2 linked regions of the Oryctolagus cuniculus genome follow. The protein of the gene in region 1 purifies or fractionates together with the protein of each later gene. This does not show direct contact. Links are inferred from orthologs where the notes say so. Each region holds a gene or a part of one and is shown on either strand. Other genes may lie near its edges.

The links.
Region 2: the proteins of POLD1 (region 1) and MMS19 purify together in Homo sapiens (affinity purification with western blotting; 3 studies listed by BioGRID and IntAct, with this or other methods). This does not show direct contact. The link is inferred for Oryctolagus cuniculus from reciprocal best matches to the Homo sapiens genes POLD1 and MMS19.

Annotation. Positions count from the first base shown.
Region 1 is NC_091449.1:7,460,708-7,466,390, forward strand, and holds part of POLD1 (DNA polymerase delta catalytic subunit), read right to left. Parts: intron 5,139-5,683; coding exon 4,992-5,138; intron 4,913-4,991; coding exon 4,787-4,912; intron 4,713-4,786; coding exon 4,544-4,712; intron 4,474-4,543; coding exon 4,392-4,473; intron 4,321-4,391; coding exon 4,191-4,320; intron 4,072-4,190; coding exon 3,905-4,071; intron 3,812-3,904; coding exon 3,707-3,811; intron 2,387-3,706; coding exon 2,246-2,386; intron 2,173-2,245; coding exon 2,062-2,172; intron 1,641-2,061; coding exon 1,449-1,640; intron 1,357-1,448; coding exon 1,268-1,356; intron 1,166-1,267; coding exon 1,049-1,165; intron 941-1,048; coding exon 827-940; intron 645-826; coding exon 497-644; intron 1-496. UniProt on the Homo sapiens protein: As the catalytic component of the trimeric (Pol-delta3 complex) and tetrameric DNA polymerase delta complexes (Pol-delta4 complex), plays a crucial role in high fidelity genome replication, including in lagging strand synthesis, and repair.
Region 2 is NC_091446.1:32,371,920-32,377,602, reverse strand, and holds part of MMS19 (MMS19 nucleotide excision repair protein homolog), read right to left. Parts: intron 3,725-5,683; coding exon 3,624-3,724; intron 3,011-3,623; coding exon 2,925-3,010; intron 2,594-2,924; coding exon 2,519-2,593; intron 2,143-2,518; coding exon 2,073-2,142; intron 1,684-2,072; coding exon 1,555-1,683; intron 1,469-1,554; coding exon 1,407-1,468; intron 976-1,406; coding exon 889-975; intron 541-888; coding exon 466-540; intron 1-465. UniProt on the Homo sapiens protein: Key component of the cytosolic iron-sulfur protein assembly (CIA) complex, a multiprotein complex that mediates the incorporation of iron-sulfur cluster into apoproteins specifically involved in DNA metabolism and genomic integrity.

The DNA of each region.
Region 1 (5,683 bases):
GGTCCCAGGTCCTGCCCTCCGCGCCCGCCACGGCCAGGCCCGCGGCCTCATTGGGGATCTTTCTGTCTACGCAGCACAGTCGCCGCGGACCGTGGGCTCATCCTCAGAGCCGCCTCGGCCAACCACGGCTGAGCGCCTTCACAGGGCCCTCACCGTCCCCAGCGCCCACTCCCACGACGGCCAAGGGCTCCCCGCCGGCAGGGAGGGGGGCTGGGCACAAGTGGCCAGGGGACCTCCCGTGAGCGCGGCCAAGCAGCAGAACCGCTCCCTTCCCGGGCGCTGCCCTGGACCCCACGTCGTCCACTGTGGAGTCCACACCGCCCGCTGCACCCTGAGCACGCTTCCCTCCATCCCTGCCATCCCTCCCTCGTCCCCAGGGCCCCGCAGCTGCCTCCCACCCTCCGCCCCACTCCGGGACCCAGGGGGCAGGCGATCGACTCCCCGTGATGCACATGCCCCCCCCCCCCGCCCCGCCCTGGGTTGGGGCAGAGCTCACCTGCGAGATCTCCAGGCACGGCAGCCTGCCCACCTGGGCGCCGGTGAAGCCATACACAGAGTTGGCGCTCACCTTCAGCGCCAGCTGCCGCCCGTCCAGCACTTGCCGCCGCAGGGGGTCGGTCTCCCGAGCCAGCTCGGCCTTGGCCCTGAGAGGGGGCGGGGAAAGGCTGCTGAGGTCTGGGGACGCTGCGGGCACGGCGCGGGGCCGCGGGACCGGCTGGGGGTGCCCTGTGGGAATGCACACCCGGCCACGAGGGGGCGGCCCCGCCGGGAAGCCCCACCCCCAAGTCGGAGCCACGAGCCGGGACGGCGCCCGCCGGGAGCCCACCTCTTGCGGGCGCTGAGCAGGTTCTCCAGGATCTGGGGCAGCAGCCCCTTCCGCACGGACGTCTTCACGAACTCGTCCCCCGTGGGCGTCCTGATGAACTGGTCGGCGCTCAGGCTGCGGGGGCAGGGGTGCGGCCCCTCTCAGCCCCGAGTCTCAGGCGTGAGCACCGCAGCCCCCCGGGCCGCCCCTGCACTTCCGGGGCCCGTGGGAAGGAGGGCCTACCCCAGCTTCTGGGCGGCCCCGGGCCGCAGCAGCGTGGTGTAGCACAGGTTGTGGGCCATCATGATGGACGGGTACAGCGAGGAGAAGTCCAGGGTGGCGATGGGGACGTCGTAGTACCTGGGGAGGAGCCGGGGGTCAGGGCCGGGAGCCCCCGCCCCGCCCGCCCCCGCCCCCGCCCCCGCCCCGGCCGCCCCGCCCCCGCCCCGCCCTGGGCCTCACCCTTTGAGGGGCTCGATGACGGTGGCCCCCGTGTAGTCCTCGCCGCCCTCCGTCTTCACCACGGGCATCAGCAGCCCCTCGCGCATGGCCTGAGGAGGGCCGCGGTGAGCAGGCCGGGGCTGGGCCGGGGCGGGCAGGCCCTGGGGGCCGGGGCTCCGCCCGCCCGCGCCGGGCCACTGACCTGCCGCAGCAGCTGGGACACGACCTTGACCTGCTGGCCGCGGCTGAGCAGGTAGCTGAGCGGCACGCCCGTGACGCGCGCCATCTCCACGGCGTTCACCAGCACCATGAGGCGCTCCAGCAGCCGCAGCGGCAGCAGCGCGTCCTTGAGGCAGTACACGGCCAGCCGGCGGCGCGTCTGCTCGTTCCCGTTCTGCGGGACGGCCGGGGGGGTCGGGCGGGGCCGCGGGGGCTCCAGGCCGGGGTGGACGGGGGCGGGGCCGGGGTCAGGGCGGGGCCGCGGGGGCTCCAGGCCGGGGTGGACGGGGGCGGGGCCGGGGTCAGGGCGGGGCCGCGGGGGCTCCAGGCCGGGGTGGACGGGGGCGGGGCAGGGTCGTGGGGGTCGGGGGGAGGGTGGGGGTCGGGGGGAGGACGGGGGTCGGGCGGGGCCGCGGGGGCTCCAGGCCGGGGTGGCTGGGGGCGGGGCCGCGGGGGCTCCAGGCCGGGGTGGACGGGGGCGGGGCCGCGGGGGCGGTGGGGGGGGCCTCCAGGCCGGGGTCGGGCGGGGCCGCGGGGGCTCCAGGCCGGGGTGGCCCGGGGCGGGGGCGGGGTCAGGGGTCGGAGGGCGCGGGCACCTGCAGGTCCGTGATGATGCTGTGCTGCACGTCCTCCTTCTGCTCGCCCAGGAAGTGGAAGCTCACGGCGTTGAGCGTGTAGGAGCGCAGCTTGTGCTCCCGCAGCAGCACCTGGGGGGGGCGGGCGGCGCTGGGTGTGGGCCCGGGCGCGGCCTCCCGGGGCTGGGCGCCGGCCCCCGCCTACCTGCAGCATGTCCATCTGCACGCGGCCCACGATGCTGACCACCTTGCTGTCCCGCCGGCCGGTCTGCTTCGACTGGAACGAGGAGTCCCGGATGCTGGAGCGGAGGTTGGCCACTCGGCCCAGGAACGGGAAAGACGGCACCTGGGGGCGGAGGCGCAAGTCCGCAGGTGAGCGCACGGGGACCCTGCGGCTGCCTTGGGGCCGCGGTCAGGGAGGGGCCGGGGTCAGGGAGGGGGCCAGGGTCAGGCAGGGGCCGGGGTCAGGGAGGGGGCTGGGGTCAGGGAGGGGCTGGGGTCAGGGAGGAGGCTGGGGTCAGGGAGGGGCTGGGGTCAGGGAGGGGGCTGGGGTCAGGGAGGAGGCTGGGGTCAGGGAGGGGCTGGGGTCAGGGAGGGGGCCAGGGTCAGGCAGGGGCCGGGGTCAGGGAGGGGCCGGGGTCAGGGAGGGGGCTGGGGTCAGGGAGGGGGCCAGGGTCAGGGAGGGGGCCAGGGTCAGGCAGGGGCCGGGGTCAGGGAGGGGGCTGGGGTCAGGGAGGGGCTGGGGTCAGGGAGGAGGCTGGGGTCAGGGAGGGGCTGGGGTCAGGGAGGAGGCTGGGGTCAGGGAGGGGCTGGGGTCAGGAGGGGCTGGGGTCAGGGAGGGGGCTGGGGTCAGGCAGTGGGCTGGGGTCAGGCAGGGGCTGGGGTCAGGGAGGGGGCTGGGGTCACAGAAGGGCTGGGGTCAGGGAGGGGCTGGGGTCAGGGAGGGGGCTGGGGTCAGGCAGGGGCTGGGGTCAGGGAGGGGGCTGGGGTCAGGCAGGGGGCTGGGGTCAGGAGGGGCTGGGGTCAGGGTGGGGGCTGGGGTCAGGGAGGGGGCTGGGGTCAGGGTGGGGGCTGGGGTCAGGGAGGGGGCTGGGGTCAGGGAGGGGGCTGGGGTCACAGAAGGGCTGGGGTCAGGAGGGGCTGGGGCCTGACAGGCTGCAGGGTGAGGAGCAGGAGACCCCTGCAGAGCGGGGTAGAGGGCCCAGCGTGGAGGAGACGGGCCGGGGGCAGGGCCGGGCCTGGGAGGCCCCAGGTGAGTGGCACCGGGTGGCAGGCGCAGTGGCCCGGCCGGCAGGTGTGGTCTCCCTGGAGCTTGGGGGCCCCGGGGTCTCTTCTTCATGACCCAAGCGGCCAGACAGCAGCACAGGCTCACTGGCGCCCCCCAGGACACTGAGGGTCTGACCCCCGGCTCCTCCCAAGGGCGACCTGTCCGGGATGCGTCCCTGCGGGCGAGCCCAGGTCATCAGGGCAAGTCTGGCTCAAGGTGGCCGCTGTAGGGGACTGGACAGGGACCCGGGCAGGGGGAAGGGACCGAGGACCCGGCACCGTCCCTCAGCAACACTCCTCGCCTCTGACCAGCTGCAAGGGACCGCTGGACTCGGCAGGGCAGGGCCCCGGCCAGGACGAGGACACAGCCCGGGAAGCCGCCGCCCCTCCCCGCCCTCACCTTGAGGGTCTGGGCGCGGGAGATGAGGTACGGGAGGTCGAAGTTCTGGATGTTGTAGCCGGTGATCACGTCGGGGTCCAAGGTGCGCACGAACGTGGACCAGGCCTGCGCGGGGGCGCGGGGTCACCCGGGGAACACCCTGGAATGGCCCGCACCCCAGTCCCGCGCAGGGGTGCTGGGAGGGGCGGGGAGAGGCACCTGCAGCAGCTCCTCTTCCCGCTCGTAGCTCTGCACCTGGGCGCCCAGGATGGGGGCACAGGGCCGCAGGGTGAGCGCCAGGCGCAGGAAGGGCTCCGGCTCGCCCCAGCGCAGGCCCAGCGAGCAGATCTGGATCACGGGGTCCCGCTCGGGCTCCGGGAAGATGCCTGGGAGGCGGGGGCACACAGGAAGCGGGCTCTGGCCGCTGCCTCTCTCCAGCCCCGGCCTCGCCGCCGCCCGCCCCGCTCAGCCCCTCTCCACCCTTAGCTGCCGGCCCGGGACTGACCTTTGCGGCCAGCACACTCGATGTCGAAGCTGAGCACGCGCAGGGGTGCGATGCGCTGCCACTGCCCCTCGGGCGGGTGACTGACCACATCCGACCACAGCACGTCGGCCTCCAGCTGACACAGCGTGACCTGCGGGGGGCGGGGTCAGCGGCGGAGGTCCCCGCCCCTGCCCCTGCCCCCGCCCCCGGGGAGCCCCGCACCTTCCCCTCCGGCCGGAGGACGTATTTCCCGGCCGGGAGCTCCAGCCAGTTGCAGCCAACGATGTCAGTGTCCACCATGAACCTGGAAGCGCTGAGGGTCAGCGGGCGGGGGGCGGGGCTGGGGGCGGGGCCGGGCGGAGGCAGGGCCGTACCGGATCTCGAAGTCCACGTTGGCCTCGTAGGGCGCGAAGCTGGGGGTGCCCAGGCCTGCCACCCTGATGCCCTGCTCCAGCAGGCGCCGGGCGGGCGCCACGAGGCGGGGCAGCGCCAGGCTGACGCGCAGGAACGGGGAGGGGCCGTGCCCGTGGTACCCGAACATGCCTGCGGACAGAGGACGCTGGGACCGGCCGGCCGGACGCCCGCCCCGCCCCGCCCGGCCCGGCGGCGCCACTCACTCTCGCGGGAACACAGCTCCACGGCCAGCACGGCCGGCCCGGCCAGCTCCTTCCCGCCGCGCTGGTCCCGGCTGATGGCCGCGTTCAGCTCGCGCTGGAAGTCGCCCAGGTGCTCGGGGCCGAAGCCTGGCGAGAGAGGCGGTCAGGGCCGCGGGGCGGGGCCTCCCGGCGGGGCGGGGCCTCCCGGCGGGGCGGGGGCGCTCACCGGAGGGCGCGGGGACATAGAAGTAGGGGCTGAAGCCGTGGATGTGGCAGCAGACCGAGACGCCCTCGTCCGTGACGCCGAAGGCCCGGAGCACGGGCACGGAGCTGCTGGCTGCAGGGGGCCCCCAAGGCAGGGGCCGCGCTGGGCCTGGGGTGCGGGTCACAGGAGAGGGCAGGCTCTGTGAAGGCGGCCTCCCTAGACCCCACCCCCGCCCCGGCAAAGCCCCGACTCCGGGCGCGGCGGAGCGCTGTAAGCCGCTGCCTGGGACACGGCATCCCGCGGGCGCTGGTGGGGTCCCGGCTGCTCCGCCTCTGGTCCAGCTCCCCGCTAACAGCCTGGGAAAGCAGTGCAGGAGGGCCCAAGTGTTTGGGCCCTGCACCCGCATGGAGGCCCGGATGAGGCTCCTGGCTCGTGCCTGGCCCTGCCCTGGCTGTTGTGGCCATCTGGGGAGTGAACCAGTGGATTGCGAGCTCTCTCTCTCTCTCAGATAAATCAGTAAGTCTTTCAGGAACCAAACACGGGCTCCAGCGTGCACGTCCACTCAGCCCTGCTCAGGGAGCACTGCCCGAGGGAGGCGGGGCCACGGCCCGAGGGAGGCGGGGCCACGCCCGGCTCAGAGCCACTCCCTCACAGCCCGCCAGCCCCACGCTCTGTCCTCCGGCCCACGCTGAACCCTCGGCCGTCATCGGAGC
Region 2 (5,683 bases), on another chromosome or scaffold:
GCCCATGAACCATTTCCTGGCTGTCTGAGAATCTATATCCATAGAACTCTTTTTTTTTTTTTTTTTTTTTTTTTGACAGGCAGAGTGGACAGTGAGAGAGAGAGAGAGACAGAGAGAAAGGTCTTCCTTTTGCCGTTGGTTCACCCTCCAATGGCCACCATAGCCGGTGCGCTGTGGCCGGCGCATCGCGCTGATCCGAAGCCAGGAGCCAGGTGCTTCTCCTGGTCTCCCATGGGGTGCAGGGCTCAAGCACCTGGGCCATCCTCCACTGCACTCCTGGGCCACAGCAGAGAGCTGGCCTGGAAGAGGGGCAACCAGGACAGAATCCGGCGCCTCAACTGGGACTAGAACCCGGTATGCCGGTACCACAGGCAGAGGATTAGCCTATTGAGCCGCGGCGCCGGCCCACAGAACTCTTAACTTGTTGAAAGGCAGCTGGATCCTCCAAGGAGAAAAATTACTTACCAGAGTCTGCAGAGAATCCAGCTTGGCACTGAGAATCTCAGAATCCACCTTCTCAATTAGCAGGGGCAGCAGGAACTGTGAGAGAGAAGTTGAGCCTGAGAGGTAGTGTCACAGTCATATCAAGGAGCTAAACTCCAGTCAGGAATTGTGTCTGTGCCAGAGCACCAGACACCAAAAAATGAGCAAGACAGCAAAGGTACAAAATTTCAAAAAGATTACTATCTTAAAGGAAGAGAAGATAAGTTTTCTATACCAAAGGCCTAAAGATACCTTCCACACAACACACTCGCAGGATGTCACATTCTAAAACATTACCAGATCTTTTGTTTACCCCCATGCTTTCACTGTTCTTTCTTAGAAAAACTTTTACTGTTCTTTCTTCTATGTGCATGGGTTAAATACCCTCACCCCGCCTAAACCCACCTCAGCAAATCGTGATGTAGAAGCCAGCACAGCTCGAAGACTCAGGATGAGATCCTCTCTCTGGATTCCATGGGGATCATTAGGTGGCTGGAAAAGAGAAGGGCCATGGGTTTGTATAACTCTTCAGAACACTCCTGGGCACAGACTTGAATCTGCCTACTCTAGCTCACACCAAACTCTGTCTTCTCCGAATAACTACAGTACTACTCATTTTGGTATCTTAACTTCATAGTGCTCCTTAAATGTTCCAATCTCCAAAGGCAGGGGCCATGTTTTATAATCCTATAGTGCCCAGCACTGAGTACAATGGTTAAGGAGCTTAAGGAGGTCCTCAAATACATGCTGACTTGAAACCTTCCACTGATGTCAAATACTTCTCCATGCGCCTGTTTCCTGCAATGTAGATTCACAGGGGCAGTGATTGTTGTTCACCTGGACCCTCAGTGCCTAGAACCGGGCCTAGCATATGGCAGATACTCAACTAGTATTTGAATGAATGCAGGATGGTGTTTACTTACAGGGGTGAAATCAACAGGGAAATAGCAAGAAGTCACTTCAAACAACTCCTCCACAAAGGGTCCTGTAGCAACAGAGAATGAGGCTGACTGTCTAGCTTCATTTATTTGACAAACCCTAATCACCTAATTCACATCTACCAAGACATACCCAGGCTATAGTCCCTGGAGATGAGGTCATGGACGATACGGAAGGCCACCAGAAGATTACGGGGATCTTTTTCCCCATCCATCACCTGGATGAAGCCAAAGGTGAAGTCAGCTCCTAGGCCCTTTAGCTCTGGGAAGGAGAGAACAAGGTCACTACTGTTTCATGAGATAGGAAGCTTGGGGTTTCTCCGGGCTTGTGCTGTCCCTCTGCTACCACTGCCTCTCCTCTCTTGCCTTTCAGAGCAGATCCTTTTTGTTTTCCTAGTCCAAAAGAAGTACTTGGCTAGATGTGTAACGATGCACACACTGTTACAGAGGCAGGAGTTTAAAACAGTGCCTCAAACTAACTCTACTCTGCCTTCATTTCACCAGGGAGAGAGTGGTTCTCTAGTTTCTCTTTATCATTCTCTTGAAATCTCGGCTCTTCCATATAAACCCTAGACTAAAATGAGTTCCATTAATGGGGGAAAAGTATGACATGCTTGCTTTTGAGGTTTTCCAGAGAGCCCTGCCTCTTACCTTCTTCCCGGATTTGCATGAAGTTGGTGATGATGCTATAGACTGTGTGTCGGTCCACCTGTGGCAAGGACTTGGGGTGGGGACGGGGAAGTAGGTGAAAAACATGTTCAAGGAATATTTCAACTAACACAACTACTTTCTGCTTCACAGTCTCTAAGTATAAGGTCAACCTAACAGGAACTATAGACCTAGGGTATGGCTATTGCCTCAGCACTACGGTGGTGGTGCCAATAACCCAAACCCGTCTGAGGTTTGCCTTACTTTCTCTAAGTGCAAGACAAATGGCACACAGCCATCTCCATAGCTGGTGGCAAGGAATAAAGCATAAATATGGCCACAAGGCCTACAAGAGTTCACAACTTGGAGGGTAACACTTTCTGCCTTCTAATTCTAGTATATCAATGGGTTGGAGACAGAGAATATGAAGACGATTGTTAATCACTCACTTGTACGTGTACCTCTTGGAAGATGGCCTTAAGCACAGAGACGGCCAGCCCTGGGGGCAGGGTTACACACAGGCTCTGGAGGAGAAGGGAAGATAAATGAGCATGGCTTTCAAGACAAAGCTCTACAGTAGGCTTCACTAGCTACAGTGGGGAGCACAGCATCCTGGGTAACGAGGAAATGCTAATAGTGAGGGAGTTTCTCAAGCTGATTGGTCCTGTGCAGCTCCTTCCAGTTTGCTCTGAATTGCAGTGGCTCAAATGATAAAAAGCAGAAACAGGGCTACTAACATTAATGTAGTCCCACATTTGGTCCTCTACTCCTGTTGAGGCCTCACCTCCCCAAAGAGCAAGGACAGAACTGGACAGGGGGCCCCACTGTCACCAATAAGCAATGAAAAGAACTCACAAGTGCCCTCAAACCTTGCAGGACAGATGGGATCACAAGATGATGGTCCTTCAGTCGATTCTCATAGAATAGGATCAGGTGTACAACTGCACAAACCAGATTCAGCCGTTAGCTGACAAAGCCATGAGGAGGGCCCACTAGTTTGCTCCTTCCCTAAGTTTGTAAGGCTGTTTTAGTTTGGGATGCACTAAATTTTTCTCCTTCAAGAGATACCCCATGCCCCCTGAACCAAAGGTATTGACTTGATTAATCAGGAAAACAGAGGGACATCTCTTACTTTCCATTTTCACAAAGGTCCACAGTAAAATCAAACCCATTTGCAGACCCAGAACTGCCTAGCTACGGAACTGATGGCCACAAATTTCCCTCTTTCCCTCCCTCCCTCCGGAACTGATGCCCACAAATTTTCCTTCCTTCCTTCTTTCTGTTTTCTTTTCTTTTCTCTTCCTCCCTTCCTTCCTTTCCTTTTTCTTTCTCTTAAGATTTACTTATTTGAAAGGCAGAGTTAGAGAGAGAGAGAGGCAGAAGTAGTCCCTGAAAGCCATGTCTTAACGTCTTGATTCTAATCATCTGATACTTACACCAATGAGGAATGAAGACCCTGTGCCACCCCACCCCACCTTCCAAAATGGTTTGGATAGACACAGGAGGCCTTTGTACAGTAATCCAGGAAGCCATTCCTCCTAATGATGCCAGTACCTTCCTTCTCCAGGAGCAGAGAGTGACACTGGAGTAGCACCTGTGACAAAAGCTGGATCCCTCGTGCCCGAGTCCTGGGTTCTGGGTTCTCCAGAGAAGATCTGAAAATAGGAAGTAAAGAGAGAGTCTGCCATTACCCAGTTCAAACCTCTAAAGAAGTAAGTATTTTGCAATTAGTCAAACTCACCCTCTGCACATGGAAGCAAAGCCAAGTTCTGTTAAAAGAACAAGAGTCCAGGAAAAATGGTGCCCTCTAGTGACGCCTGATCCCCAGACTAACCAGGCATCAGCAGAGGCACTTGAGAGCCAAGAGAAATCTCACTTCCAGGTCCTCCCAGCTGGGTGCTGCATGGGCACTATGCTCCCTCTTTAACCCCAGTGCTATGATTGTGATGTTCTTTTGACACAAAGCTTAGCAGCTACACACAGCATTTCTGAGGTGACTGGAAGCTACTGCTTACCCAAGACAGGCAGAGAAGACATGTATTTTTGTAAGTTACCAAGGAAAAGATGCTGACAACAACCACAAAGGCCTAAGGGAAAAAGAAACAAACAAACAAACAAACAAAAAAACAAAACAAAAAAACCACAAAACTTTGCAACTGGAAGGTTACAGAGTGAGATGGCCAGAATAAAGGTTCTAACTGTGTTAGGCGATTGACATGGGGAATCCGGACTGAAGTGACAAGGTGGTTTGTCTTCAAAAGAGCTCTACAGAGATTATACTTTAACGTACTAGAAGTAGTTTAACCAGGAATGAGTAGGAAGCAGATTTCTGGAGGAGAGCTGGCCACACAGTTATGTTAAACCTCAAAGAAAATGCTAGATATCATCAGGAAAATTGGGGCCAAAATTAGATGACTCTAGTCAGAATGCTTAGGACATGAACTTATAGAAGGTTTCTACTCAGAAGTAGAAAAATGTGCATTCAGAGCATTTAAAAATGGAACAAGGCACATAAATGCTCATAGTAGCATTATTCAGAGTAGCTAAAAAGTGGAAATAATCTAGATATCCACTAACCAAGGAATAAACAAAAATGTGGCATATCTATACAATGGAATATTATTCAGTTAGGAAAGAAATGTAGCTGGGGCTGGTGTTGTGGTATAGCAGGATAAGCTGCCACCCATGACACTGGCATCCCACAGGAGCACAGATTCAAGTCCCAGGAGTTCTACTTCTGCTCCAGCTCCCAGCTAATGTGCCTAGGAAAGCAGAAGAAGATGGCCCAATTGCTTGGGTACCTTCCACCAATGTGAAAGACCCGGATGGAGTTACAGACTCCTGGCTTTGGCTTGGCTCAGGCCCTGGCATTGCAGCCACTTGGAGAATAAACCATCAGATGAAAGATCTCTTTCTCTCTCTGTCTCTCCCTTTCTCCCTTGTAACTCTGCCTTTCAAATAAAGAAATCTGTTAAAAAAAAAAAAAAAAAAAAGAAATGTGGAACTGATATACACTTCAACATGGATGGACCCTGACAACATGTTAATTGAAAGAAGCCCATTATGAAGGTCATATATTATATGAAATTTCCAGGTTAGGCAAGTCCATAGAGATAGTAAATGGGCCATACTCTGCTATCTTCCAGATGCATTAGCAGAAAAAGGGATTGGAAGCATGCAGCATCCAGGACTCAAATCAGACACTCCAATGTGGGATGCGGGCTTCACAAGTGGCAGGTTAACCTGCTGCACCACAATGCTCTTGCCAAAGCTGTTATTTATAAAAAAATGGACCTGGGGCTGATGCTGTGGTATAGCAGGTAAAGCAGCTGCCCGCGGTGCCGAAATCCCATATGGGCACAAGTTCAAATCAGGGCTGCTACACTTCCAATCCAGCTCCCTGGTAATACGCCTGGGAAAGCAGTGGAAGATGGCCCAGGTGCTTGGGCCCTGCCAACCAGGCAGGAGACCTGGAAGAAGCTCTTAGCTCCTGGCTTTGGCCTGGCCCAGCCTGGTTGCTGCAGCCATTTGGGGAGAGATCAAGTGGATGAAGATCTCTCTTTCTCTATCTCTGTGTAACTCTGCCTTTCAAATAAATAAATAAATCTTTTTAA